Linked DNA regions of Lytechinus pictus. The protein of the gene in region 1 purifies or fractionates together with the protein of each later gene. This does not show direct contact. Links are inferred from orthologs where the notes say so. Each region holds a gene or a part of one and is shown in the gene's direction. Other genes may lie near its edges. The genes, in order: synaptosomal-associated protein 29-like, syntaxin-17-like and alpha-soluble NSF attachment protein-like.

The links.
Region 2: the proteins of synaptosomal-associated protein 29-like (region 1) and syntaxin-17-like purify together in Drosophila melanogaster (affinity purification with western blotting; 4 studies listed by BioGRID, with this or other methods). This does not show direct contact. The link is inferred for Lytechinus pictus from reciprocal best matches to the Drosophila melanogaster genes Snap29 and Syx17.
Region 3: the proteins of synaptosomal-associated protein 29-like (region 1) and alpha-soluble NSF attachment protein-like purify together in Drosophila melanogaster (affinity purification with mass spectrometry; 3 studies listed by BioGRID, with this or other methods). This does not show direct contact. The link is inferred for Lytechinus pictus from reciprocal best matches to the Drosophila melanogaster genes Snap29 and alphaSnap.

What each region holds. Positions count from the first base shown.
Region 1 is NC_087246.1:3,636,180-3,646,484, forward strand, and holds the start of synaptosomal-associated protein 29-like, read left to right. Parts: upstream 1-5,385; 5' UTR 5,386-5,389; coding exon 5,390-5,816; intron 5,817-9,004; coding exon 9,005-9,171; 3' UTR 9,172-10,305.
Region 2 is NC_087245.1:2,741,728-2,752,264, reverse strand, and holds the start of syntaxin-17-like, read left to right. Parts: upstream 1-5,812; 5' UTR 5,813-5,996; intron 5,997-10,537.
Region 3 is NC_087251.1:20,744,347-20,754,687, forward strand, and holds the start of alpha-soluble NSF attachment protein-like, read left to right. Parts: upstream 1-5,798; 5' UTR 5,799-6,078; coding exon 6,079-6,170; intron 6,171-10,341. UniProt on the Drosophila melanogaster protein: Required for vesicular transport between the endoplasmic reticulum and the Golgi apparatus. Also between the endosome and phagosome.

The sequences.
Region 1 (10,305 bases):
ATAAAAATATAAACAAACAATAATAAGCATCTGTATATGCAGTTACATTTATGTACTTGCATGAGATAAATAAATAGTCTATGTATTGCACAAATTATTTGTGACGTTTGAATCTTGCATAAATAAATATTCTGGTTTCCTGTAACAAATTTACCTGTCAAATTCTGTCAATGTATTCAAATGACCTTGAATAAACTTTGCTATATGCGGTTAAATAAACAAAACCTTTACTTTGTCTCATTTGTCCTTTATATCAACTACGATACTTAAATATTACCTTGCCTCTAAACTATATACTCTGGGGCATTATTGACTAGCAATAACTTTACTCAAACCAAATAACTAGGCTTTCATTTCACCTTCACTGTATGTGTTATTTGTAATTATCAGGGCTTTAAAATGCACCAAAAACTGGCTTTAATGCCTTATTTCCAAACTCATACATATACTGTATCCTTTTCAACAACTAGAGCCAAATGTAGCTAACAAAGAACAACATTTGTTTATTTGACATTCCATTTCGTTTACAACTCTGAACATGAATAGCCTACTATGCACTGTGTGCGAGATTACCACACAGTACCGTACCAATATGCTATTACGCAACACTCTTCATGTGCATGTCCAATTACCTATTAATGTACAATGTCAATATACGTTTATCACACCTGTATTCTATACGTTAACTCCAAACACTTTCACCAAAGTTATGAGCTAAATTAACAACAAATTAATTATCGTCTCGAGTTAATTTTGGTTCCATATATTCAGTTAAACATTACATTACGGAAATATAAAGGTCCTTTTACTTACAACATTGGACTTGTACCGATTATCTTGAATTCTACTGTAAAGTCACGACGGGCTGAACTTTAAATCTTTGTCGATCTTGGCAAGGCAAATTTCCAACGCCCTCTATCGACCCAGATAAATGATACTACGACCCAATAACGTCTCTGACGTCATGTTAAATATTTCAAAGAAAAAATACACTTTCTAAATCTTACACCCTTTTTTCATTATTTTTGTGTTTTTGACACCCTTATCACGTTACGTACGTAACGTGCCCTATCGTGAAAAAGACATCCTTTTTACGTGTTTTTTTGGTCGCGCATGGTATCCACTCGTCAATGTAAGTGGCCCCCCCGGGGCAGCTGGTCTTGGGGCCCTGGGGCCCGTTTCTCAACACATGGACAAGTTAGTCATATCTTTATCCACCAACCACGGAGTTAGTTCCAATCTTACTAAACCTGTTTCTCGAAAGGCTTCCTAACTAGAATACCTTGATATCGATACTATCGGTAAAAAGAGCAGACGAGACGTAGCCTTAGTCACAAAATAGCATAATTTTCAAAAAGAAAAATTATTACAAAATTGCAAATATTATGATGAATTGGGAAATAAATCTTTTCAAAATAATAGCACAGGTGAATTATGCATCATACATACTTAGACCATGAAGACTGGAGCATTCAATTTCAGAGAAAATAATTCATTTCATGACTAAAAAATCACTTGTGGACGTTGAGATGGGTACCCCCGGGAGACCCAATTTTAATAGTTTACGAAAGTAAACCATAACGGTTTTCTTTGTAAAATGATGATAATTATACGGACCATTACGATTCCAAACGTCATCAAAATATAGTTAACGAAACATTTTTGTCTCACCTGCATAGCAGAGTGAGACTATAGGCGCCGCTTTTCCGACGGCGACGGCGGCGGCGACGGCGGCGGCGGCGGCGTCAACACCAAATCTTAACCTGAGGTTAAGTTTTTGAAATGACAGCATAACTTAGAAAGTATATGGACCTAGTTCATGAAACTTGGCCATAAGGTTAATCAAGTATTACTGAACATCCTGCCTGAGTTTCATGTCACATGACCAAGGTCAAAGGTCATTTAGGGGCAATGAACTTAGACCATGTTGGGGGAATCAACATCAAAATCTTAACCTAAGGTTAAGTTTTTGAAATGTCATCATAACTTAGAAAATATATGGACCTAGTTCATGAAACTTATACATAAGGTCAATCAAGTATCACTGAACATCTTGCATGAGTTTCACGTCACATGACCAAGGTCAAAGGTCATTTAGGGTCAATGAACTTTGGCCGAATTGGGGGTATCTGTTGAATTACCATCATAACCTTAAAAGTTTATGGATCTGATTCATGAAACTTGGACATAATAGTAATCAAGTATTACTGAACATCCTGTGCAAGTTTCAGGTCACATGATCAAGGTCAAAGGTCATTTAGGGTCAATGAACTTTGGCCAAATTGGGGTATTTGTTGAATTACAGCCATAAATTTGAAAGTGTGTTGGTCTAGTTCATAAAACTTGGACATAAGAGTAATCAAGTATCACTGAACATCCTGTGCGAGTTTCAGGTCACATGATCAAGGTCAAAGGTCATGTAAGGTCAAAGAACTTTGGCCACGTTGGGGGTATTTGTTGAATTGCCATCATATCTCTATAAGTGTATTGGTCTAGTTCATAAAACGTGGAAATAAGAGTAACCAAGTATCACTGAACATCTTGTGCGAGTTATAGTAGTTTTCAAAATCAGCACTGCTGCTATATTGAATCGCGTGATGCAGGTGAGACGGCCAGAGGCATTCCACTTGTTAATAATTGATACCGAAAGATACGATATTGGACAAATTATATGCATAAATTAGAGATAGAATTCATCCAACTGTTAATAGGGGTCTGAAAACAACAAATACGAGTTCTGTTATGGATGGCCTGACGTGGTAGAACTAGAATCTTTATCGATTAAATCATTTTACTATTTCAAAATTAATGGTTTTGTGGCGTTTACCAACAGTTTTTATAGTTTCTTTGTATTACAATTATCATTGAATGCATTAACCCACTTGTTTTGTGATGTAATTTCAATCTCTATGATTGATTATGTAAGATTATAATTTTAAAATTTCTAGGCACTTTCGCATGTCATAGTCTACCCACGTGATGCCACTACGTCATTAAGAAAGAAGTTAAGACAGGTTCGGAGGTGTCATAAATATTTAGTGAGGTTGTTGTACCCGATCTTGGTAAAGAGGGCTTCGTGAAACGGTTAGCGGACAAGTAGCTCACTATCTCCGATTTAGTCAAGAAGTTAGACTTATGACGGTGTTGAGAAACGGGCCCCTGTTTCATAAAGCTGTTCACTATGTTTAAAAGTTAGAGTGACTTCAACAACTGGCATGACCATGATTACTGGTGATCCTTGTGGTAAATGATATTCACCATTTATTTGATCATGTTAATGATTGATGATTATTTAATGTAAGATACTAAGAAGAAGGTTCACCAGTCATTCCTAACTAAAGACTTAAAGGAGAATGAAACTCTTGGAGCAAGTTAGCTTTTGTGAAAGCAGAAAAATCAAAGAATAAGATCAACAAAACTTTGAGTAAAATAGGACTAGCAATAAAAGAGTTATGAGCATTTGAATGTCGAGATCACTAATGCTATGTAGATCCTCCCATTGGCAATGCGACCAAGATCTGTGATGTCACGCACGTACAACTCTCCCATTCGGACACTGAAAATATACCCCAAAACATATCTTTTTGCTCATTCTAATCATATGACAAACGATTCATCAATGATATAATGTTGTGAAACCTCTGTACTTGTCATCTCATAAAGAAAACACATAACCTTGTGATAGACTCTATAAAAGTGAGAATATAAGTGAAATAAGTACTAAAGTAATGAGGGAGTTGTACGTGTGTGATATCACAGATCTTGGTCGCATTGCCGATGGGAGGATCTACATGGCACTAGTGATCTCAATATTCAAATGCTCATAACTTTCTTATCATTTATTCAATCTTCCTCAAACTTTCAACAATATGTTTCTTTGATTTTTCTCTTTGATATGGATTCAGCTAGTTTCAAGGGTTTCATTCTCCTTTCAGTCACTCTTAACTCACTTGCTCACTGCAACCATCCTGCCTGTGGGATTCTACAGGTAGGACTATGGTTAGACAGGAATAACAATCATTTCTGGGGATTTAACAATTTCTGACATTTTACTATCATCCCCATTCACTGACGGTAGTGTGTTAGTGCGAGCCTGCATATATATATACAGTGCGTCCCAGAAAAAACCAAAGCGAGATTAAGCGATGATTTATCACAACTTAATCACAAATACAATCAACAAATGACCTACCAATGTAAAGCTTAGAATCTCCTCTTTCATCTGATTTTACTTAGATTATTCCTCATTCACGCATGAGTGAGCAAAAACAATTTGAAGAAAGGATGCAAAAAACTCATTTGGCGGGGGGTATCTGAATTTCAAAAAGAAAATCACATGCCTAAAAAGTTCAATATGTGCTCTTGTATTTGATACCTTAATCAGACAAAATGGTCGAGAAGTAAAAAAAGTTATGTTCCCTCGAAACAATGCTTGTATTTCCATAATTTCATTAAATAAACGTGTTTTCATCGGTTTCCCACAGAAGCTATCGCATGGTTAACAAAAGACTTAACATGCTTAATGCATGGCTGATCGTCAACAAAACGGAGTGTCAAGAAGTGAGTTTGAACGCTAGCCTGTAGAACCTCTTCATTTTATGAAATTATTGAAATTCAAGCCTTATTTCAAATAACCAGAACTTTGTTATTTCCTGAACATTTTCTGTAATTGAGGTATCAAATTAAAGAGCAGATATTAAACTTTTTAAAAATGTGGTTTTCTTTTTGAAACCCAGATACAGTCTGCCAAATGACTTTGGTATCCCCTCTTCAAATTGTTTTTGCTCACTCATGCGTGAATGAGAAATAATCTAAGTAATTTCAGATAAGGGGAGATTGTAAGCTTTACAATTGTAGGTCATTTGTCTATTGTATTTGTGATTAAGATATGATAAATCACCAATAAATCTCGGCTTCGTTTTTTGTGGGACGCACTGTATATATATATATATATATAAAAGAAAAAGAAGGTTAGATGATTTCCTGTGTTTGAATCAGTGTAGGAAAAACATATTGTGATGGGTAATTTTGCCCAACTTGCCTCCTAAAATTCTTCAAATCAAAAACTTTGGGATGACGCTCTTCTCTCAAGTTGCCCTAAGATCTGCCACAAACAATATTGAAAAATATGTAGAAAATCAGTATATTCAATATGGCAGAATAACCATATAATTGCCTACTGTGCAAGAAAGTAGCACCTTGAAATTAAAAAAAAGCCCCAGAATTCAGCAATCACCCCAATATGAAAAAAAAAATGGTCCTTATGAAATGAAAATAATTTATTGATTGTATGTTTGATGATATCCCAAATTAGAGGAAATTGAAGTAGGGAAAAATTCTACTTTGTAATCACAAATTATGTATATTTTCATATTAAAAAAAAAAACCTATGCAGGAACTTTTACACCAAGGTGAACAACTCAAGAGAGTGGACACCAAACTGGACAAGATGGACAAAGACCTTGATACATCTAAGAAACATATCACATCAATGAAATCAATATTTGGAGGCATTGTAAACTACTTCAACAAACCCAAAGCTGGCCAGCAGGAGCAGCAAGCCCCGTCACACGGTTCTAGCAACCTTAAGACACACATGGAGAGGGTGGAAGCAGAGGAAGAGATGAGAAGAGCTAACTCTGATCATCCTGCTCTGAAGCTCAGAGGGGTGGGTGCTTCGGAGCCCAGTGCAGGTTCTTGGGGCTCATCTTGTACAGGAGGATTTGGAGGGGAGAATGATGGTGGAATGTCTAGCAGTAACGTGTTGCAGTCACATAGTATGAGGGACTTTGATAATCATCTCAATTCTAATCTAGGTAAGCTATATATTGTAGTGACAAACTGAAAATGAAATGGACTACATATGACTTTTCTACAAAGCACAAAATTGGAGAAGTAATGAGATAGAGAATAAAAGAAAGAGACCTGGGGGCCGTTTCATAAAGCTGTTCGTACATGTAGGTTAAGAGCAACTTTATTAAGAAAGACTGGTGAGCCTTTCTTACGCGCTGAATAATCACCAATGGTGTATACCATTTACCAATAGAAAGGATCACCAGTCGTTCTTAAAGTTGCTCTTATCTTACAAACAGCCTTATGAAACGCCCACCAGGTAATACATGTATAATAAGATATCATGTTTGTTCTAGAAAATAAGTCAGAAAAAAAAAATCTTGGAACCAGACAGATATGAATTTGTTTTCTATTGATTGGTAGGCATGTCTCTACCACCAGGCCATTTCTAGTCCATGGCACAGCACATACACGGATCTAGACTAGATTTGCCAGAGGCATACCACTTGTTCAGATTAAATACACAATCTTATTTTATCGAGAGCAAACCAGCATTGTCTCTGTATAAGGTATTTTTTGCAACTGCAATAGGGACAGATTCAAGAACACAGTAAATATATTGAAAGTGCCTGTCAATGACAAAGAACAGCTGGGAGGTCTTTGTTGAATATTGATGAACCGGAACAGAAGTTTAGTCCTAAGTTCTAGAGCTGACAAAAAATTGCAAATTTGTCGTTTGTCCTGACTCCAAGATGAAACTGCCATTGTGATTCACCAAGTTTTGGTTGTGCTATGTCATGGATATATTTTCTATGTTCTTTAATCTGTTGTGCGTCATGGAAGCAAAAACTAGATTATTGACATTTCCCCCAACAAACAATTTACAACTCTGCTAAATCAGCAACATTGCCACATGATTAATTCCATTCTGAAAAGTAGGTCAGATCAGATGAATTTAGATTTGCTGAAAGTTTATATTTGTTCATTATTATGAAAAATATTTTCTTTTAAAGGGGAATCCAACCCAAATAAAAACTTGTTTTTATAAGAAAAAGAAAAATCAGACAAGTTTATAGGTGAAAGTTTGAACAATATTGGACAAACAACAAGAAAGTTATGAATTTTTAAAAGTTGTAAATATTGGTAATCACTATACTCATGGAGACTTCAAATTGGCCGCATATGGGATGTCATAGTGATGTAAGGCAAGGACTACTCTTCCATGTACTCCAATACATATTATGGCTAAAATGTCATTTTTCCCAAAAGTTTTATTTCAAATTATATTTTTCTTTCATGAGGACATTAAACAATATACTACCTGGGTTATATTTAGATTACTGCCCCAGGGGAATGGGTACTTAGGAGAAAACCACAAATCCCTGATAATAAAGTACATGGCCTATGGGAAAGTTGTCCTTGCCCCTTGTCATAATTTACTTACCCAGTTGCCAATTTGAAATCTACATACTATTAGTGATCTTAATTTTAAAGCAGCTATAACTTTCTTATTGCTTGTCCGATTTCTTTCAAACTTTCACCATTCTGTTTAATTTATTTTTCTCCTTCCCAACACAACATTTTATGGCAAAGGCTGGATTCCCTGAAATCAGAATTTCTTGGAGGAGATCTTAAGTTGAATCATGGATCTATTTTAGATAGACATTCAACGTGATTCTTTGATCAAAGGAGATTTGCTGCCTAGAGATTATCTCTAGTCTTAATCAGAACATATAGGTGATGTGATAGTTGCGACTACCAAGGGTCATCAGATCATAATACAAAGAAACAGTTTTCCAGACCTTGGTTTTGTTGGCTAAATTGAGAAAAAGACAATTTTTATGATATGAAATATTACTTGGTCCCAGGCCTGCTTGGTCCGCAAACTTCCACACATAAATATAATTACTTCAATAACATTGAGAGATACATGATCTCTACACATGTGCCTTTTGTCTCTGGAATATTAGGAGGAAACTTGGAAATTGGGATTATAAATGATACACAATCAGTCACCGTTTTTTCTTATCTTAAAATATGCATATAAATCGCAATAGAACACATGGAAATAAGATTACCAAAGGTTAACCAGAACTTCCTAATGCCTCATGTTTCATGAAAATTAATTAAATTAAATTAATCTTTTTAATGAAAATTTTGCATTGTCTTGTTTCCTTTGAGGATAATGATACTTTCTGATTGCTGATAATTCTCAATTTTTTTTTTCTGATTTGTTAACAAAGGGAAAGTGGAACACTCTTCTTCTACATCAATACCAATTAGTGGTGTAGTAATCTAGTTGTATGATTTGTTTCCTTCATTGGCTTACACTAAGGTAGTCTACAGTTTTCTAATGTCTGTAGATAGTGTTTCCTCCATCCCTTCCTTCACCCATTTCATTCAGGAAATGAGTGATGAGTTTTGATTTGTCTTTGCAGTAGAACTCCTTGAATGATGAATTGAAAATGACTTTTGAAATCCATATTCATTGAAACTGAGTATTCATAATATTAATCATACCTATTGAATTAAAAATCCTTATTAACATGGCTAGAAATTGTTACAGTTCCATTTTCTAACAACTTGGACAAGAAACAATTCAATTTACTTATACATGTAGACTCATGAAGATTGAATATTTCTTAACTGCATTTAATGAAATATACCCCCATTAGGAATAAATACCTTGATGAATGTTTGATTGCCTATATGGGTAGCACTGCTAAAGCCAGTGTAATATAGCAGCGCTCTGTACCCTCTGGCAAAAAGCGATTTATAAATCCAGCTATTGTTATTATCATTATTATTAATGCTAGAAATTTGATTTGAAAGTATAGAATTTATGGCAAGAGAGAAATTTGAAAAAGAGTAGAGTCAAAATAGAGGTAATTTTTATTGTTATATTGATTAAACAGCATAGAAATTGTGTTTAGATTTATTTTCCTGTCATCTGAGGAATTCCTTAAGAATACATGAAATGTAAACTACACGATGGATTGATGCAAAGTGTAATTTGCATATTTTGTTCAGATTGCATGTTATATTCTTTATATATATATTTTGTAGTTACCATGCATATAACTATCAATGCAATATTTTAAGGTTTTTGCCCTGTTGAAATACATTTATCCTGCTCATTTGATTGTAGATGATTTAGGTAGCAAATTACAATCATTCTTATATTTATCTTCTTCTTCTCCCTATCAACTAGATGAAATTGGCTCAGGTATTGGTCGCCTAAAGGGACTTGCCATGGGATTGAATGATGAACTGGAGAGACAGAATGCTGATATTGACAGGATAACAGGCAAGGTAGAGAGAGTAGATGACAAACTGGGTAAAACAGACAAAGAAGTAAAGAAGATCCTTAGAAGATAATGAAGGCTGGTATCAGGAAACTTGTCAGCCGTCTCTCCTCAGTTAGGTTTAACGATGTGACTATATTATATTTTTTTTATCATCAATGTTTTGCCCCTCGATCATATTTTTGTCAATATCCAGTCAACATGAATTCTCTCATTTCTAGATTATTACATTTGCTGTTTGTGTATCTTTCATGGTAAATATTTTGTTAATTTACCTGTTGTCAATACTCAATGCAGTGGGTGAAAGTTACCAGCACTGACAGTTAACTAATCTACAGACCAGTTCTTCTCAGCCAATCAAATCCAAGGATAAAACCAAATTGTCAGAGCTGCTTATAACTCTCATGTAACACCTTCCAGATGTGTTCATTCTTTAAATACTCTTGCATATTTTAATGATATATTTTGGAATTGTGCTGAAAATTGGGATTTTAGATTTTTTCTATTATTATTGTTATTATTATTGTTGTTGTTTTGTTTATTTGTTTCTGTATTTGTTTTGAGGGGGAGGGGGTCAGTGTTGGTACTTGGCAGGTATGACTTTATGAATTCTTAAATGTTTTTAAGCTTTGTTTGAATGAAGGGTCACTTTCTAAGCCTTGTCACTCATATATGCACCAAAAGTTGTGAAAATTTTCACCTTTCAGCCACATAGTGTTAGTAGCCAATTTGCTTTTAACATATTGAAAGATATGATGGATTTTTCTCAAAGCCAATTCCAGAGGATATGATTACAAGCTATTTTTTGTCTCACCTGCATAGCAGAGTGAGACTATAGGCGCCGCTTTTCCGACGGCGACAGCATCAGCATCAAATCTTAACCGAAGGTTAAGTTTTTGAAATGACAGCATAATTTAGAAAAGTATGGACCTAGTTCATGAAACTTAGACATAAGGTTAATCAAATATTACTGAACATCCTGCCTGAGTTTCAGGTCACATGACCAAGGTCAAAGGTCATTAAGGGTCAATGAACTTAGACCATGTTGGGGAGTCAATATCAAAATCTTAACCTAATGTTTGGTGTTTGAAATGTCATCATAACTTAGACAGTATATGAAACTAGTTCATGAAACTTGGCCACAAAGGTAATCAAATATTTAGTGAATATTGGATGGCCTTGAGTGGGATGCGAAGAAATATTGTAC
Region 2 (10,537 bases), on another chromosome or scaffold:
ATTTTCTACTGATATTCTTACAAATAATTTTGATGAACTTCAAGTTGAATTCGATATTCATGATAAAGCATACAATCTTTCCTCTTCTCCATATTATACAGAAAATTCATTCAAAGACTATGCTAAATTGATTGGAGAAGATGATGTTTTTATTTTGCATTTGAATATAAGAAGCGCTAACCAAAACTTCGAGAAATTACGATTATTATTAGAAAATACACAGTTTGCCAATCCCCCAATTATTGCTCTTACTGAAACTTGGTTCACAGAAACCCCGAATTCCTTATGCACCCTCCCGAATTATGATATTGTTATAAACAATAGGAAAAATAAAATTGGAGGTGGACTAGCATTATATATTCCGTCTTCATTTGATTATGCAATTAGACATGAATTTGAATATATGAATGAAATCATCGAATCCTTATTTGTAGAAGTAAAAATTCAAAAAGATAAGAAAACTCTAACAGGTGTCATCTACAGACCTCCTCAAACGTCTTGTATAGAAGATTTTTTACTTGCTACTAATGAACTTTTGCAAAACGGAGAATTGATAAATAACAATTGTATCATCACTGGTGATTTCAATATTAATCTATTGACCAGTAATCACTCTTTAACAAATTATTTCCTTGAATTAATGTTATCTTCTACTTTTTTGCCTATTATTTCTAGACCAACCCGTATTACTGATCATTCTGCTACGCTTATAGATAATATATTCTGTAACTCTCATCCTCTTCCGAAAGCTGGCATTGTAACGACAGACATATCCGATCATTTTCTTATTTTTACCCATATCCAAACAATGCAATCACTCGCAAAAATGGAAAAGAAATATAGGATCTGTCGCAACTTTAGTGATAAAAATATTGAACGCCTTCAAGAAGATTTAAGCTCTGTTGATTGGTCTGACGTTTATAACTCGAATGTGAATGTCGATGACTCATTTGACATATTTTTGAAATCTTTCAATGACTGCTTAGATTATTGTGTTCCTTTAAAGAAATATCGAAATTACGATTATAAACGTGTTCCAAAGCTCCCATGGGTTTCAAAATTGATATTAAGGTCTATAAATCGGAAAAATAATCTGTATGTTTCTTATATATCAAATCCAAATGATATTTCAAGGAATAGATACACGTCTTATAAAAATACCTTAACAACTACTCTCCGAATAGCAAAAAAGAGGTTTTATTCAGAAAAATTAAATTCATATAAAAACGACCTTAAAAATACATGGAAAACAATAAATGGGGCCCTAAACAAAATTAACAAATCTAGTGCTGTTCATAAATTATGTGTAGATGGAAATATGGTTGAAGATACTCATTCTATAGCAAATGAATTTAATACATATTTCTCTCAAATTGGACCAAAGTTAGCTGGAAATATTATGCCTGTAGAAAATTCGTTTAAGGACTTTTTGGATAAACAAAATGAAAGTTCAATATTTCTTACTCCAGTTCATAGAGAAGAATTACTTGAGATTGTATTTAATTTGAAAGCAGAAAAGACTCCCGGTTATGATGGCATTACAAATAGAGTTGTGAAAAACCTTATACATTCTCTTGCTTATCCTCTGCTTCATATATTTAATTTATCGTTGCAGCTTGGCCAGGTCCCAAAGAAGATGAAAATAGCTAAAGTTATACCCATTTTCAAGAAGGGAGACCAATTAATTACTAGTAATTACCGCCCAATATCTTTGTTAACTTCGTTCTCAAAAATTCTTGAAAGGATAATTTATAAAAGGACAGTTGCTTTCCTTAAGAAATATAGTATTATATGTGATAATCAATTCGGTTTTAGAGAAAAACATAATACAACTCATGCTATATTGACATTAATAAATAAAATATCTACTTCTTTTGACGATTCTGATCACACCGTAGGGTTATTCCTCGACTTCTCAAAAGCGTTTGATACAATAGATCATGAAATACTATTATGTAAGCTATCAAATTACGGTATCAGAGGGACAGCTTTACAATGGTTTAGGAGTTATCTTACTGATAGAATTCAGTTTGTTACAGTAAATGAATCAGAATCTCCAACAAGGCTAGTTTCCTGTGGAATTCCACAAGGTAGTATTCTTGGCCCTTTGCTCTTTGTACTTTATGTTAATGATATGAAAAATTCATCTCATGTTCTCTCATTTATTCTCTTTGCTGATGATTCCAATATTTTCTTTACACATCATGATCCACGTGTACTTGTGAGCACTATGAATGCAGAATTTAAAAAAGTAACAAACTGGATTAAAGCCAACAAACTGTCATTGAATCTGCAAAAAACTAATTATATGCTTTTTAGTCATTCATTGAAACATCTACCGCATCAAATACTTTTAGATAATACTGAAATCAAAGAAGTGCAAACAACAAAATTCTTAGGTCTTACTATTGATCACAAGCTTACGTGGAATGCTCATATCAACAATATTTGCAAAACTGTGGCAAGAAATATTGGAGTCATCAATAAGCTTAAAAACGCTCTTCCATCACAGGCGCTATCCATGTTGTATTGTGCATTAATTCTACCATATCTTAATTATGGAATTCTGGCATGGGGTAATGCCTCTCAAACGAGACTCAATAAAGTCTTGCTACTTCAGAAAAAAGTACTGAGAATAATATGCAATATGTCCTTAAGAGCTCATACAGATGAATTGTTTCGTCATAAACGTATCCTTAAAGTCAATGACCTGTATCGCTTGCAACTATTCCAATTCATGTATCAGCTAGATAGAAATAGTGTACCTAATGTCCTACAAAAGAAATTTATGAAAAACAATACCTTACATTCATATAATACGAGACATTCAAATGACTATCACTTACCCAAAAGTAGAACAGTATTTTCTAGCAAAACTGTATTTTTCACAGGACCAAAACTCTGGAATTCTCTGGATAGAGTAATAAAAGAGGCAGCTAATCTAAACCGATTTAAATTACTCATCAAAAAATTTATTCTGAATTCTTATTGATTCAATCAAATATTTTGTGAACCTCATACTTACCCACGGTAGTATTGATTATTTTAAAGTCAATATTTAATTTTGTATATAGTGTGAATACATTTGTGTTACAGTGTTTATATATAATTTTATAGAATTTTGCTGATTATTTTACTCTACTTATATCATATTACCCTTGTATAAAATCTTGATAGGGGGTCTACATTTTACAAGCTTTGCTTTTTAGTAGGCCCCTCCACTTTTTTCATTTCATTGCTACGTTTCAATCCTGTGTGTTATGCATTTTTTTCAGTGTTAAAATGATTTATTATAAATGTACTTTGATGATTGTGGAATATGAATATATCAATAAAATAAAATAAAAATAAATTAAGAAACCCCCTCTCAGCATCCTAACACGACATAATAAAACAAGTACCCAATAACAGAAAAAAAACCTATACGCCTCTCGTGCTCTGCCTCAAAACTACGCCTAATTCCACCAGCCACGCCAGTTTTACTCCTGCTTTCTAAACAAACTTGTTGAAATGACAAGAATATCTGTTAGCATTAGTAGTACAATAGCTATGTCTAGTCGAACTTTTGTACCCAAGTAACCTTTTACTAGTCATTTACTATTTAGGTTTTGGAGTTTAGAACGTCTACAACCCCCCCCCCCCCCCGAAAAAAAACCTATGTAATAATATTAATGTATAGCATTTATGATTAACTAGTTGCCTTTTCAAAGGCTCACTGTATATTACCCCATGTATCACGTTGTTAATTTAAAACTCATATCATACAGAAATTCTTCAGAAAAAAAATCTTGATTCATCATAAAACATGGCAGTTCATGGGACTCGTAATGCATGCGTGGTATGAAGAACGGCTTACTAGTGAGTAGACAATGGCGTCACCGGCGTCACAATAATAAGCATTAAAAAAGTAATGTTGCAATGTCTGTCCTGTTTTTATACAAAACAAACATCATGGCATGAACAGTGTCATTTCCATTTTGATAAATATACATACTTGCAGGTGTAAAGAAACATTTATAAAAACAAAAAAATACGTATGAAATAAATTGAATATAAAACATAAATGATATTGAAATCTAAATTTAAAATGGCTCCAGTGATAAGTCTTGCAAGGTTGAATAAAACAATTATGACGAAAACACACCGAAATTAGAATATCTTCAAATAGAACTTTGAAACCAAGAAAATAAGAGAGACATATTAGGATGGCAGGGAATTTTGATGAGAAAACTGTACTGATGCATTCATCTCACTTAGTGTATTCAGGAAATAATTTGAATTTTGAGAAAGATTGATGGGGGAAAACGCGTTTTGTATAGTTCCGCTATTATCATAATATGATTTATGAGATTCAGTTTCGCAAAATAAGAAGATAAGTATAAGGGTTATATCATTCTATCAGAATAGTTAAATGTATATTAGTCAATAGGTCTATTATGGTTAGAGGTCTGTTTTATAATCATGCTTGTTAATGGGATGGGGACTTGTTATTTCCATTCAAATAATTTCCAGTAAATGATAATAATAATATATAGCATTTATGAGGCGCCGATTATCTATAGTTTCATATTCAATGGAGCACTATATTATACCCATGTGATAGGTCTACATGGGCTGCACTGGTATGATTATGAATTGAATTGAATTTTTTAGAACGTCACTGGCATTCGCCAATATTTTGTTCAAAACAAGAAATACAAAATAATACAAAACAAATATACAATTCGAGGAATATAAGCAGATAAACAAAAACAAAATAGTATTTCGTCAAATGTATAACATGCCTCTTTTATTATTTACAATATAGGTCTTCTGTTTAATTATTGTTTTAACTTCACAATAGAATGTGCAATGGGCGGTCATGTAGGTTTTTATATTGTTTTGTTTGTTTGTTTTGCAGTGAAAAAGACATTCAACATACTTAATTTGCACGTTTCTTTTCTGTGTTCATGAAAACGCATACATAGGCAAAGTGCATTATAGGGAAAATTTCTTGCACTGACTGGTGCCCTTCTTTAGGTATAGGTCCAGAAATATATAATCATACTAATTTTCGCATGAATCCTCCTTGAATGTTTTCCGCAATCCAATTCTAGTGGCTGCCATTTCCTGAATTTCCCATAATTTTACAACCAAAATACCAAAGTCAAATGTCTGGGTTTTTTTTTTTTCAATTTTCAAGCTCATGGCCACTTATAGAAATGTTTTACCCTGGCTTGGAATTTCTCTTGCAATAGGCCGAGACTAAAACTGAATCGACGTTAGAAAAAATATTCAAACAAATCTCCAAGATTAAATATGATTTCTTTGGAATTAATTTTGGATATTATCTTTTTAAGATAATTATGTAGTATGGTATCACGTACTCTATAATCATTTATTTTTGACTTGGAAAGTAGCGTATATGCTACAGGTGCCAAAATAACAACGATGGCGAATTGGCGATGACCCCTTGGCGCCTGCGTGGGGCGGGGGTAGGCATTATGCCAGAGTTCCCCCACATGATTTTTTTTTAATCGGGGATCAATAACCGTACAATTTCAGCAGAAGTGAAGTTTTGGAGGAACCTGTGCCTTTGAATATTTTTAACAGAAATATGGCACAATGTAAATGCTCTGGATCATCATCATCTTTTTTTAAGCTTTCTCTCCGTATCCTAAGTCAAAATTCAAACTGAGGATAGAAAAGAAGAGTGATTAGTAAAGATCATGATAGTATCATGAAAGTTGGAACTTGAAGGAGAAGAAGAAGAAAAATAAAGACGTTAATATAATGGAAGACGAAGAAACGATAGAGGGCGACGTTAATCAACACTGAATATGCGGGATTTCCCACGAACGATTTCGTAAACAAAGCTAAGCTCGGCCTCCATCCTCAGACGAAATTGTGAGCTTTTCCTCGTATTTATAACATTTCTTAAAAACCGTTAGTGCACAGAGCGTTATTGGATACTGTGATGGACAGGGAATAACATATGACACACCAAGAATCCCCTTGTAAGTTGGACCAGTATGGTATGTTTCGGGTATGTTCACGCAGATATAACTTAAGTAACTACATGTACCGTATGTAGCTGACTCCTGACCACGGCTCCTAACTCTGAGCCTCGGGGCCGCGCCGCGCCCGCAGCTCGTACCGGTATCGGGCGGTGGTCCGGCCGCAATGCCAATGATCAGGGGCGGTATTCTGAAAACGTTCTTATCTTAATTTTGTTCTTATCTACGTCACGATCTCAAATTGGTATTCTGAAAACGTTCTTATCTTTTTCTTATCTTTTGTTCGTATCTTTTTCTTATCTTGCTAAACATCCTTACCTCGAGCGAAGTTCGTGCAGGCTCCACTCCACTTCACTACCGCTTCACCTACCCGAAGGTGAAGCGTAGTGTAGCGGTAGTAGTGAAGTGGAGTGGAGCCTGCACGAACTTTGCTCGAGGTAAAACATCCTATGCTGAGCGCGTAAATGTATTACTCGCGCATATAATACAAAAGCGCGCTAAAAAGATAAGAACAAAATGAAGATAAGTGGTATTCTGAAAACGTTCTTATCTTTTCTCTTTCTTATCTTTCACGATATTTATGATAATATTTAAGATAGCTAGAGGGTTATCACATCTCACGATGTCCGCGTTCGCTCTTGCTTAAAATCGATGGCCACTATTAGTAACAAGTTCCCACAAGTATTCCTCCCACCCTTTCTTTCAATCACCCTTTATTTTCCCGTCTCTTTTTTCTATCCCTTTTTTCTTTCTTTCTTTATTTATTCATTTTCTCTTTTTCTTCCTATCTGTCTGTCTTTCTTCCTTTCTATGTGTTTGTCTTTCTTTCTTTCTTTAAGTTTATTCTTCATTTATATCTTTGTTTTATTCTTTTGAATCTTTTAATTTCTTTACTTTTCTTTTGCTTTGTTTCATTTATTCTTCATATTTCTTCCTTTGTTATTTTCCCTTTTCATTTTATCCCTTTCTTTCTTTTCTTGAATAAGTCTTTATTTCTGCTTTTATTCTTTCCCCTTTCTCTCTTCCTTTTCTTTTCTTTTCATTTTTCTTTCTTCCGTCACATTTTTGTAATCTTTTTATTTCTTCCTTATTTTTTCTTTAATTCTTTCGTCTTTATATGTGCTTTTCCTTTTTTCCCCTTTTTCTTTCTTTCTTCCTTCCGTTAATATTAATTTTTTCCCCTTATTTTTTTTTCTTTTCTTTTTTTTTCTTTTTATTTTTGGGTTCTTTTTTTTTTTTTTTTCGTTCATTCGTTTGTTCTTTCTTTCATTTTTTTTTATTTCTGCTTCCTGACACTCTTGTGTCTTATTTACTTTCTTTCTTGTGTTTTATTCTTTATTTCGCTCATTCTTTTTTCGTTCATTCTTTATTAACTCTCTTTCTTTACTTTCCTCTCTGTGTCTTTCTTCTATCAATTATTTCTTTATTCTTTCCATTAATGTTTTTCCGTTTTCTTTTTTTTTATTAATTCTTCACTTTTCCTGACTTTTTATTTTCCCTTTTCGTTCCTTTTCTTTCTTTGAATTTTCCTTTCTTTCTTTTTATCTTTCTGTAATCTTTATTTTTGCTTTAATTTTCCTTTCATTTTTTCTCTCTCATCTTTATTTCTTTGGTTCATTTTCCTTTTCCTCTCTTTTTATTCTTTTTTATTTTGTCCTTTTACTTTTTTCCTTTAAGTTTCTTTCTTTTATTTCTTCATTTTTTCTTCCTCACTGTATCATTGATAATCGTTCTATTTTTTTCCTTATTTTATTATTTTTAAGTTCTTTTTGCTTGCTTACTTTCGTTTACTCTTTATTTCTTTCATTATTTTTTGCTTTGTTCCTTTCATCTTTTTTATTATTCCTGCTTCATTCTGACACCTTTCTGTGTACTTACTTTCTTTCTTCATATTTTATTCTTTATTCGTACCTGCTTTATTTACTTTTTATCTTTACTTTCTTTCTTTCTTTATTTTGTGCACGTGTCTCGAAATAATAATCAGTCATTGCGTATAAAATTCATATTTCGCGCAATGCGCAGGAAACAGTGTACGCACAGCGCCCATGATATTCTCTTGACATAAGGAACGCTTCTATTGGTTAAACTGCCAATATAAAGTGCATTTTGATTGGTAATATCCTAAAAATGGGCGTGTTGAAGATAAGAAGGAGGCAGTCCTTACAAAGATAAGAACGCGTTAAGAAGATTTTCAGAATACCGATTTGCAATGATTTTAGCGTCTTCTTATCTCAATGAGATAAGATAAAAGATAAGAACAAAGATAAGAACGTTTTCAGAATACCACCCCAGGGCTCCGTAACAGAAAGGTTAGCGAAACGGAATACAGAGCTACCAAGTCTCACGCATTGTGCGTGAGACTCACGCAGTCAGGGTCCGTCTCACGCATGGCACCTTTTTCTCTCACGTATCGGGACAGAAAAAATAAAAGTAGCATTATATTCGCTAGATTATACGCACTGGCCGCACGCCGTCGCGTCTACCCCGGCGCACGAGACGAATCGAGAGTACAGTCAGCGCACAGCTAGTACGTGATACGATGAATCGCGTGTGTGCATCGCATGGTTTTGTAGTATGGATTGATATCATGATGAAGCCTTGTTTTTACTTGCACGCTGTAAGCAATTTTTTATCGAATAATGTACATACACTTGCACGCTGCACTTCACCAGTACGACAATACACCAGGCGGTGGACTGTACTGTTTCCAGAAGAAGAAGAAGCCCATATCTCGCGCGAGCACCTTTTCGAAACGTACAAAGCGTAAGTACTGGCCGCGCCACGCAGAGACGCCGAGTCATGAAAATCTCACGCATAAAATTTTTTTGAACTTGGCATCTCTGGGAATAATGAAATGAAATGGCGTATCAAGATCATTGTTGCATGCTCATTAAGCTCAGCAGACTGACGAGGAACCAATCAGAATTGTGATTTCAAATTAGTGATTAGTCGCTAAAGTTTTTGTTTCGGGGCCAAGGGCAAGGCCAGTCACAATCAATGCTAACCCAGGCCAGGGAGAAAATTATGCACTTACCATGATTATATGGATGAAGGTCTATCGTGACACACAAATCCTGACATCGAGGCACAGACTGGAACCTCAAAAAACGAAAAGTTCTGTCGCGATACCTCTCCTTTCAAAATTCAAAAACAAAAATGGCCAATCGAGACCGAGGGTATATTTCGTTTTTTTGAGGTTCCAATCTGCGCATCGATGTCAGGATTTGTGTGTCAGGATCCCGGGGGGGCCACTTCCATTGACGAGTGGATACCATGCGCGACCATGGGGTCTCGAAAAGCACCCTAAACACGTATTTTCCATTTTCTGAAAATGCACCCCTTAACAAGTATTGGCGTCTGAAACCCTACACTTAACAAGTATTGGAAACAAAACGATACTCTTGGCAAGTATTCTCTGAAATGAACCCCTAAACAAGTACAGCGATATTTTATTGTTATATCACGGGTCCGTTCGTCGTGGGTTTTACCTTTACACAGTACGGCCCCACCTTCCACATCTCACACAAATCGGACTCTAAACACGTAGTGTTGGGGCAAAAAGGACATCCTTTATAAAACATTTTAATTTTGTTTTATCATCCCCGCAAATTCGATCCTAAACACGTAGCTTTCCTAGCGAATTAGATACCCTTTTTTCATTATTTTTGTGTTTTTGACACCCTTATCACGTTACGTATGTAACGTGCCCTATCTTGAAAAAGACATCCTTTTTACGTGTTTTTTTTGGTCGCGCATGGTATCCACTCGTCAATGTAAGTGGCCCCCCCGGGGTCAGGATAGACCTTCATCCATATAATCATGGTAAGTGCATAATTTTCTCCCTGGCCTGTGTTAGCATTGATTGTGAGTTGTGACTGGCCTTGCCCTTTATTATTATCATTTTATTAAGATTACTATTGAGACCCCAATCTACCCCAGTCCCGCGTCTCCCTCGTTTAGCACGGTTGACTCCTGGGGGGCGTTTCATCAACATTTTCATCCGACAAGTTGTCAGATCTGACAACTTTCCTTGATAATGATTGGCTGAGAGTCACTGTTACCATAGTAGCTGTCGGATAAAACAGTACTTGTCGGATACAACATCCGACAAGTCCTTTCATGAAACGCTTCCCTGGGTTAATCAATGCCAATGCTGGCAATGCCTAACTTAGCCTTGAGTAGCCTGGAGGCTTCTGGAGACGGATTTCCCTAGGAAATCGATCTTTTAAGATAGAAATCATGTAAATTTGTTGTTGGATTTTATTTATCTATACAACTTCATACCCCTAATGCATATATGAAGGTGCAAATAAATGTTAGTATAAATATGAAAAATGAGAGGTTTCTTACCAGACCAATCTCGTGTAGATCCCTCGATCCATTCGTAAACACCGCAAAGACAATAGGCTTGACCCTTGAACCACTTCATTATGATGTAGCTTCGATAAGTGATGTTACAAAATGCCATTTTGAAGAACAATTTATAAATAAAAATTATTATTTTTAACAAAAAACAAAATTTGAAACTTCAAATTTCATTG
Region 3 (10,341 bases), on another chromosome or scaffold:
GTTTTGCTTACTATTTAAAGTCTAGATCTACTTTAGATAGTAAATTAGTGAATTTGAAGGTGATTTTTTTTCTTTTTACAAACATAAGACAGGAAAGAATTACCAATTACCTTTTGTTTTCAAGTGAGAAGAATTATCAGTCTATGTTGTTGAACAGTTTGGCTTACTAAGTCTAGATCTACTTTAGATAGTAAATTAGTGAATTTGAATGGGATTTTTTTTCTTTTTACAAACATAAGACAGGAAAGAAGGTTTTAATATATATAGTCTTTTTGAGTTTTTCAGAGTTCAAACGTTAAATTCTCTAACTACTATACAGTTATTGAGTAATTCAAGCAGTCACCATGTGAGGCATCACACATGCAGAGTAAACTAAGCACCCTACTATCTAGGAAAACATCTTGAATGGCCCAATGTAGACTATAAAGCAGTTACCTTTTGTTTTTAAGTGAAAAGACTTATCAGTCTATATTGTTGAAGAGTTTTGTTTACTAAGTCTAGATCTACTTTAGATAGTAAATTAGTGAATTTGAAGGGGATTTTTTTTCTGTTCACAAACATAAGACAGGAAAGAAAGTTTCAGTTTTTCTTTTTTAGTTTTTCAGTGTTCAAACATTGAATTCTCTATTAACTACTAATACAGTTATCCACTACCCAGTATCCACAACATTCTTGAAATTAAATTCTATGCACATACATGTACGCACCTATATAAATCTTAACTCACTTTATGCCGTAAACAGCACTTAGTATCCTCTGGACAAGGCGCTATTGAGCTATCAGTTGAAGTAGTAAGTGACACAGAAAGCTGAGACAAGTATGCAATGTCCGCAGACAGACTTATGGGGCATTGCAAGAAAGTGAAGAAACTGGCATTCAATTGCAAGTCAATATGGGGTCTTAATTATCATGAAAATTCCAGCAATTAAGTGCAATTTTTTACTCGATTGCTGGTCTGCTTTTTCAACAAGAAGTAAAAATTCATTTGCTATAGATAAAATTGATCTATTAGTTACGAATTATAAATTTTCAGAAATTTGGTTGTGATTGAAAATTTTGTTCTTGAAACACCAATAAGGCAGATAAAATCAACATCTTTTGCTCTGCCTTTGCTTCAGGGTTTATTAATATACATATATCAAATAATTGTGAGGGTTTGTTCTTTGTAATATTGCTTAGCTTTACTTTTCAATCAAAATTATGAAATTGTTGATGTCAGTGTCTACTTCAAACTTTTCATGAAATAAAGCTTGCAAGTTTTATTAAGTTATCTTCTCTTCCATACCCCTGTCCTGGAACTTCTTCAAGTTACTCTGAGTATAAGGCAAATTTCTTTACAAAGTGACCACCATGGTCATCCACATAAATTATTTTTTTTAAAGGACCCTTAACATGTAATCTTGTCTCACTCTTAGTCTACCCTAACCTAGACAGGAAGACAAACACTGTCGCTTTTCAACAGCAATTCATGTAATTGTATGAAAAAGGGGCCCATGTCTGTGCACCAAGAAAAACAAAATATTACACATGGATTTCTTTAAAACTCCATAACAAATTTGCATTTGATATTGTTCCATATATTTTCATGAGTACTAATTTGTGCCAAAATCTTATTAAAAATAAATTTGCAGCAAATTATATATGGTTTTCTTGCAAAAAACTGTGGCCAGTCATTTTCAGATTTAAATAGGCCTAAACATTGCCTATGTCTGCGCACCCATTCACTTTATACAAAATGCCTGTAATTCAATATTATTTCAATCATCAGTTTGACTCAGAAAATCAGAATTTGATTAAATGAATATTATAAGTGTACAGAATGTCTTCGCTGCATGTCTCCAGTGTTAGAATCATGCATATCTGCATATACACAGACTTAGGGTACCTTGCCATATGCCATAGAGAGCACCCCGATGTCCTAATTTTTGAAAATTGATAACCTGGGGCGGTATTCTGAAAATCGTGTCAACTTTCGTGTTAAATATCGTGTTATCTCTCTGATTTAACACGCCCCTAACATACCCCCAAATCGGTATTCTGAAAACCGTGTTACCTGCATGTTATCTCATTTCGTGTTATCTATAGCTCCTCCCACTCTACATCTATTTAATCCAATCAAATGCGCTGTTAAAGAAACTAATCGCGCAAAATTTTCAGGGAAAAGGGAACGTGCGCACGCGACACGAAGCCTGCATTGTGACATCATTTTGTAAGCGCATACAGCTAAATAAAAGTTAGAGCTAGAAAGAGACGTGGGGAGGGGTATGTTTTCATACTTCACAAGATAACAAAATAGTAACATAATACAAGAAATTGATTGTTTCAGACAGCATGGATACGAAATTATAACAGGAGACAGAGGCCTCGATCGAATGTGCAGCGGGCAGGGGACGATCGCCCTAAAATATGGGGGCAAGCATAATTTATACATGCCCCCAATAATTTTGAGAACTTGAAAAATAAAAATGCAAATTTTGAAAAGCATGAAAAGCACTTTAAGAAAAATTATATCTGACATTGAAATATCAAACACAAAATTGTATTTTTTTTCTATATTATAATTTGATGCGTATAGCGATTAGCCATGCAAAAAAAAAAACACTTTTGACCGCCCCCTCCCCCCCCCCCCCCCCCCATCCGAAGCATATAGATTGACTGGCATGATAGATAAATTGAGAATAACCTAGAAGCATTGAGTTTTTAAAAAAATAATCATTGGAGCTATATACCGGTAATCATTGAAAAAGGGTTTTTAAAATGTGAATATCATAGAAAAGTTTCCCAATCGCTAATTCCATTCTTTTGAATTTTTGTTTGTGCTTTTTTTTAGACATTTTGTAACTTTCTTCCTCTCCTTTTGTCTTTTTTATATTATGGCAAAAAGTAACCAAATAAATAACTCATGATCATATATGATAATTAATCCAAATCAAAGATGCATTTAAAGTGTATTTTCATAGGAAATTCCAAAGAAATTGTTGTTTAATCATTGTTGGTAGAGACTAAAGGTAGATGGAAAATAAAGCTGGAAAAATGAAAGAAAATTACAGTAAATCCTGCCAAACGATAGCTATTATGTTCTTTTTGACGTTTGCGTCTATTAGAAAAAGTGCAGCCATCGTCATCCCCAACTTAACCTCTCCTTAACGCAGTGTCAAATTTTCGTGTTATCTTCGAACAAAATTTTAGCTAACACCATTTTCAGAATACCAAATTTCGTGTTATCTTCCTCCCTAACACCGCGTATGGGGGTTGCGCGTTGCGCACTGCGTATTTCATGACCTACGCAGTGTTACCACCTGGGCCACATGTTTTTCATGCTAACACGATTTTCAGAATACCAATCGTGTTAGCTAACACCATTTTTGTGCTAACACGGTATTCAGAATACCACCCCCGGGGGATATTCTGAACATTGTCTTTTCTTAAAATTTTATCTTTTTTCAGATATGACAGAATTGGTACAATGTATAGTATTTTGGTGGATGTTACAACTTTTGTCCAATCAAAATTGTCATAAATTTTGTCTCTTCTCTATAGCATGCACAAAATAATAAGCGAATTCATACATGCATAATCCTATTCCAAGCAAATTATAAAACTTGACAGGGCCTAGCAGTCATAAATTTTGCAATTTCTTTTAGTAACATTATATCCTGATACTACATAGTTCCTGACTGTATGTTAAGCACACATTGATATTGTTTGAATTAGACTGCTGCATTTAGTTTCACTTATCATCCATGACAATTTCAAAAATATTTTTTCATGCTACAAGTAATTAGGCCTTACATACTAGATCCAATTCCTCTTTTTCTCTCTTCTCTAGAAATTTTTCTCATCTTTATTTTAAATAGTTCTTAAAGGTCAAATCCACCCCAGAAAAATGTTGATTTGAATAAATATAGAAAAATCAAACTACATGTAGGCATAACGCTGAAAATTTCATCAAAATCGGATGTAAAATAAGAAAGTTATGGAATTTTAAAGTTTCGCTTATTTTTCACAAAACAGTGATATGCACAACTCTGTGACATGCAAATGAGTCAGTCGATGATGTCCATCACTCACTATTTCTTTTGTTTTTTATTGTTTGAATTATACAATTTTTAATTTTTTACAGATTTGACAATAAGGGCCAACTTGACTGAACCATATACAGTATTAAACAACGCTAACTACACATGTTCCAGGAGGAATTAATCGTTGTTTCGCTTGACAATGAGGAGAAAATTAGAATATTTCTTATTTCACATAATAAAGTGCAAAAGAAATAGTGAGTGGATGACGTCATTTGCATACCGAACTGGATGTGAATAGAACTGTTTTGTGAAATAAAGCGAAATTTTAAAAAGACATAGCTTTCTTATTTTACATCCGATTTCAATGAAATTTTCGGTGTTACGTTTTTTGGATTTTTCTCTTATTCAAATCAACTTTTTGTTGGGGTGGACTTGTCCTTTAAGTAAAACTTTAGGCCTAGACCTATTTTTTTCAAATTTCTATGATATATTTAGTACACTTTAAAGGGATGGTCCAGGCTGGAGATATTTATATCTCAATAAATAGAGTAAAATTCACAAAGCAAAATGCTGAAAATTTGATCAAAATCAGATAACAAATATCAAAGTTATTGAATTTTAAAGATTTGCATTATTCTGGTGAAACAGTTCTAGTCATGTCTTAATGAATATTCATTAGGTGGGCTGATGATGTCATATCCCCACTTTTGTATTAAGTTTATTCAACATTTTTCTTCCAAGAACTAAAACAATTGGATTGACAACTGATTAACTCTAGACTTAACGTGCCATGAACACATATCTGTGCATCCACTGGAGTGCCACAAACACATTTTCATGCAATGGTCATACAGCTATTGTTATGCCTATTGCATTTTGAGGAGTGCATTGCATGCACAAGTGATTCCATTGTTCAGTTCAGCTTAAGGTCAAGAGGTTTAAATTATTCAGGAGTAATTCCCTTTTTTTTTAATAAATAAAACAATTAAATATAGACTCTGAAAAAAAAAGGCACTCGCTGATTACAGTAAATGGCACATTAAGAGTTTAGTGCATTAATAATAATAGTTATTTATTGCCACAACTTATTTCATCATAATCATAATGGAGACACATCATTGTACACATTTATGAAAATATGAAAACAATTATGACATAGGCCTATCCGATTTTGATGAAATTTTCAGCATATTGCTCTGTGAATTGAGTTTTTTTTAACTATATTTATCTAGATAAAAAACTTTTCAGCCCAGAGTATCCCTTTATTAACTGTTACTCATATTTTGTGAAATAAAAAGAAATGCATGTTAAATCTTATTCTTAACCCAAATTGTTTGATGCGCAGACTTGAGACTGAGTCTCTCTAAGTAACCATGGAGGTAGAATGCTTTAACTACTCTCGGCCTCAAGACAAAATTCAAGACGATCTCGCATGTGATTGTGAGACTGACTGAGCAGTGAGCTGATCGACTGGTCTGGCTCTGCCTCTGGGCCGGGTCCCAATAATCATGATAATCAGCTTTCTTTAGTTGTTTCTTACCAAACCTGCAGTTGCAGTTAAGGCAGTCAATGATGATTAAACCGGTGTTTGGAGCAACCCACTGAGTCTTGAATTATTTCTGTCCTCTGAAATGAAGCAAGTGCAATTTAGAATGATGATCTTTTAACTTTTTGTTGCTGAATTAAACACCGGCTGTTATTTTCAAGTCAAATCAGCTGTTTCATCAAAACAAATCGAATCTCGCGCGAGCGCGCGCTCTGGTTAGAAAGGTCATCCCGCGATATTGCTAGTTCTGCATGCTGTCTACATGGGATCGTGGGATGAAGCTTCCGCATCCGGGCGCGGCCGCGGCCGGTAGGCGCGCGCTAGATATAGCTACATAGCTTGCTACGGTACGTGTGTGTAGATTTGGTGACACAACACTGAATGAATGATGTCATTATTATTAGACCGATCTTCAATCATTATCGTCATTGATAGATAGTTTAACTTGAAAATTTCCTTTAAATTCTGGTCGTGAGTCGTCAACATTAACAATACATAATCGCTTCAGGAATGGCGGATCACGAAGCCAAAGCAAATCAGTGTATGATTGATGCTGAAAAGAAGCTGAAGTCATCACAAGGATTTTTTGGTTCCATGTTTGGGTGAGTTGAATCTCTGTCTCTGATTCCTGAGTCTGATTTGATTTAGCGAAGTTAATCTTATCTTAACGTTTCTGATATTGACACAGGTTGACTCCACTAACTTTAGTTTTCAATTTTAGTGGGGCTAACGGGTGTATATGGATAATGGAACTCTTCCCTTGGCTTAATCTTTATTGGCCCTATTCAGGCTATTGATTGGTAACTTTGTCATTATTAATTAGACTTGGAGTGGACTGTTCTAGTCTAGTGACGTGTGAGACTTGAATTTTGAAAGACTGGGCGAACACTGGCCAAATTTGGATTTTGGTAGGTACATGTAACTGGGGGTTGGGGCCTAACGTAAGCTTGCAATGGGTTAGACAGCTGGCAGCCGTCTGTTTCGAGGAGTTTTTAAACATTTTTTTATTTTCTTAATTTCTCCTCGTACACAGACCGACAGACGGCTCGCTATCGTGCAGCCACCATTAGGGGACTTACAATGCAAAATCCCCCCGTCGGGGCTCTTCAATTTTGTCTTTAATGAATCAAACTTTTGAAAATTAACGCGACAGAAATGCAAATTAATATTCTCTCTTAGTCTTGGCATTAATTGCCAAAAACCGGGGAAAATCAAGTTAAACGGAACAAAAACAGTGACTTACATGTATGTACCTTGGCTGTCGCGCTACTTCACTGCCCTGTTTTATCCAAACTTAATACACATAAACATATGGCCATTGAGTCCCCTGTACAGATCGCGCTAGAACTTCGGTCTCTGTATTTAGTGAGTGAAGCCAACGGAGTTCAGCTGAACAACTAACATAACAGAGACCGAAGCTTTTGGTCTAGCAATGGGTATGGTATCTATAGGGTTAGTATACTAATACTAACCTCGCAATACATGTACATGTGAGTGGGTATGGTAGTGAATCGTAATTTGTATAGCCAAACACTTCATGAATTCAATCATCAAACACTATATTTTCCAAAAATTCACCAAACTTGTCTTTCACCATATAAACATACAAATAGATCTAGATTCTAGGCTATGTAGACATTTTGCCAAAATCGTTTATCTTTTATGACTTTTTTATGATATCAGATTCCGATCGAACCCCTCTTCGCATGTGAAATACCGGTATGGTGAAAATGGTATCGTATTACTGAATGTGTGTTTTCTATGGGAAAACTTGAGAAAACAAAATCACTGATGAGCTATTTTTACAATATTTTATTAGTTTATGAATATAAAGTCTTTGAAAATGTGTTTTGACCATTTTTCTGTCTATTCAAGTTCCCTTTGAAATGATTTTGCAAAGTTTTGAGCATATGAAATAAATTTCTGATGCGTATAAGGCGTGCGTCCGGTAATACATTCTTCCCTTCTCTCAGTTCCCTTTCTATGTTCCTTGCCTCCTTGTTCATATGTGCACATCAATCCATGTTCTTCTTCCGTTGAGTACAGTCCTCTTTACAGAGTATAGTCGTACTTGGCTGAGGCCGCAATCACAAAAGCACATGACATTTGGTGCAGTTGAAAAAAACTAAACTATAGTGCAAGTAAAAAGATGCATCTCAACTGGAGAGCTAACGGAGGGTGAGTGGTTCCAGGTGGCTCCTGAAACACTCAGTTGAAGGAGCCAAAACCACTGTTGTAGGCAGGACATTCCACAAGCAGATGGTACTTGGGAATCTCATTAAACAAACATATTTGAGGGAATCGAGAGTTGCTGTCCTAATTTTTTGTACAGGAAAAGAAACACTAGTTAACTTGAGCTCATTTTTCTACCTTGAATTAAATATAAGTGTTTTACAAGCAATAGTAGGTGTACCTCAAGCGATGTTCGTGCAGGCTTCAATTCACTACCGCTACCCTACGCTCCACCTAACCGATTATCGAGCCCGTAAACTCGTTCGGATACTCCAAGAGGCAAAGGTGGGAACAAAATATATTTATTGTAAAAATTATAGAAAAAAAATATAACGAGAAAGAAAAATAGCTTAATTTCTTACTCTACACCCTTATTTCACTCCGTGTCCATCCTCCGGTTATCCTCAAAATTTGTGATTTTGGGCCAGTATCTAGTTCCTCACACATAATTATTCACGGCCGATTTCAAAACATCGCATGCAAGTGAATGAATATATATTATATTGGATGGCTCAGAAAATACCAGAAATATTCTAAGAGTTTGGGAAAATATTCCACTGATTCGTAGAGGTATTCTCTTTGCTGCAAATGTTAACAAAAAAAGTTGGTCTTCCAAGCTGGAGACTGTCGGAAATTACATACTAAATCATCTACAAAAATCTCTGATACTGGAGATAATCTCCTGAATGAGAAAGAATTTCCAATATTGGCTGTGCACCTTCACTTGTAACGTAATGACAACAAAGTACATTAGACTGGTCCATGTGACTTTTCATAGTCATTGACATCAGACTCTTCCCTTTTGATTTTTTTTTATCAGGTGTTGGTGTTGACACCTTATTGCTCATGTGGAGTACTTTTTCATACATGTAGCTCTTCCTCTATCCTTATAACAAAACTGTTTGGTCCTTGTGCCTTGGTGAAGGCCGCCTTTGACATGCAATGAGCATGATTGAAAATGTCAACTGTGGTGAGTGAAGAAGACTTAGCAATTTCATAGCATGTTGAGATTGAAAGCCATCTGATAGACAGTAATATATATGTTTCGCTTCGTGGTGTTTTGGAAAGGAGTTTGCATTTTATATGAGGGATTCTCTCGTGTTACATTTCAGCTTTTCAGCTGCAGTCCCGGGGGGGGGGGGGGGGGGGCACTTCCATTGACGAGTGGATACCATGCGCGACCATGGGGTCCCGAAAAGCACCCTAAACAAGTATTTTCCATATTCTGAAAATGCACCCCTTAACAAGTATTGGCGTGTGAAACCCTACCCTTAACAAGTATTGGAAACAAAACAATACCCTTTTCAAGTATTCCCTGAATTGAACCCCTAAACAAGTACCGGTATAGCGATTATATGTCACAGACGTCGGTTTTACCTTTACCTGCATCATTGGGTTGGTACGGCCCCAGCTTCCACACCTCGCGCAAATCGGACTCTAAACACGTAGTGATAACTGTGGGGCAAAAAGTACATCCGTCATATAACATTTTAATCTTTTTACCCTCGCAAATTTGACCCTAAACATGTAGCTTAACTAGCGAAATAGATACCCTTTTTTCATTATTTTAGTGTTTTTGACACCCTTATTACGTTACGTACGTAACATGCCCTATCTTGAAAAAGACATCCTTTTTACATGTTTTTTTGGTCGCGCATGGAATCCACTTGCCAATGTAAGTGACCCCCCCCCCCCCCCCCCAGGGCTGCAGTATGTGTATGATTGTTTTACTGAAAATAATAAACCATGAAATGAACAAATGAAAACAGTATTGAGATGAAGTTCTTTGGTGAATTTGATAGTGCATGAAGAACCTTGTGCACTTGCTTGTTCCTGGGCAGTCAGGAGATTTTATTTGAATTTGCACAGAAGCAGCCACATCTGATCCTACATGTGGTTTTGCTTTTGTTCTTCAGACTCATATACGATAGCTCTGATTGTTAGAAAGTGCATAATTTAAGGTCAGCGATGAGACTACAGTCCGACCTCTCTTATCTGGACACGTTGGCACCAGTACCAATCCGGATAAGGGATTTTTCCGGATCGAGATACCCAATATTGAATACACGCAGCTGCCTCCCCAATGGTAGAGAGCTCTACATGTAATATATTCTAGTGGGCGTACACGGGGTGACACGACATTTGTTCCGGCGACAGTTGCTCCGGGCTTTATTTTGTCTAGGATGTAGGGTTAGGGTTGCAATAGGGTTTTGTGTTTAATATGTTTACTGTTAAGGTTTAAAATAAAGTATAGTTTTAAATGCAGGGTTGAAATTGGTCATTCCATTAAATGTGTGGAATTTGCAGCAGAGCAAATGTCATGGAACCGTACACAGACAGTATTTCACTGCAGTCAGTGCAAATTATAGGCATTTTTTTTTACTGAAATGAAATCGATTGGTTGCCAAAACTCTTGGATAATTTACCTGCTGAAATGATTGAGGAATACATCAAGCATACCTCGAAAAAAAAGAGAATGACTTGCTGAAACTAAGTTTGATAATTGGATAATCGCAGCTTCGCAAAGTCAGCCATTGTTAT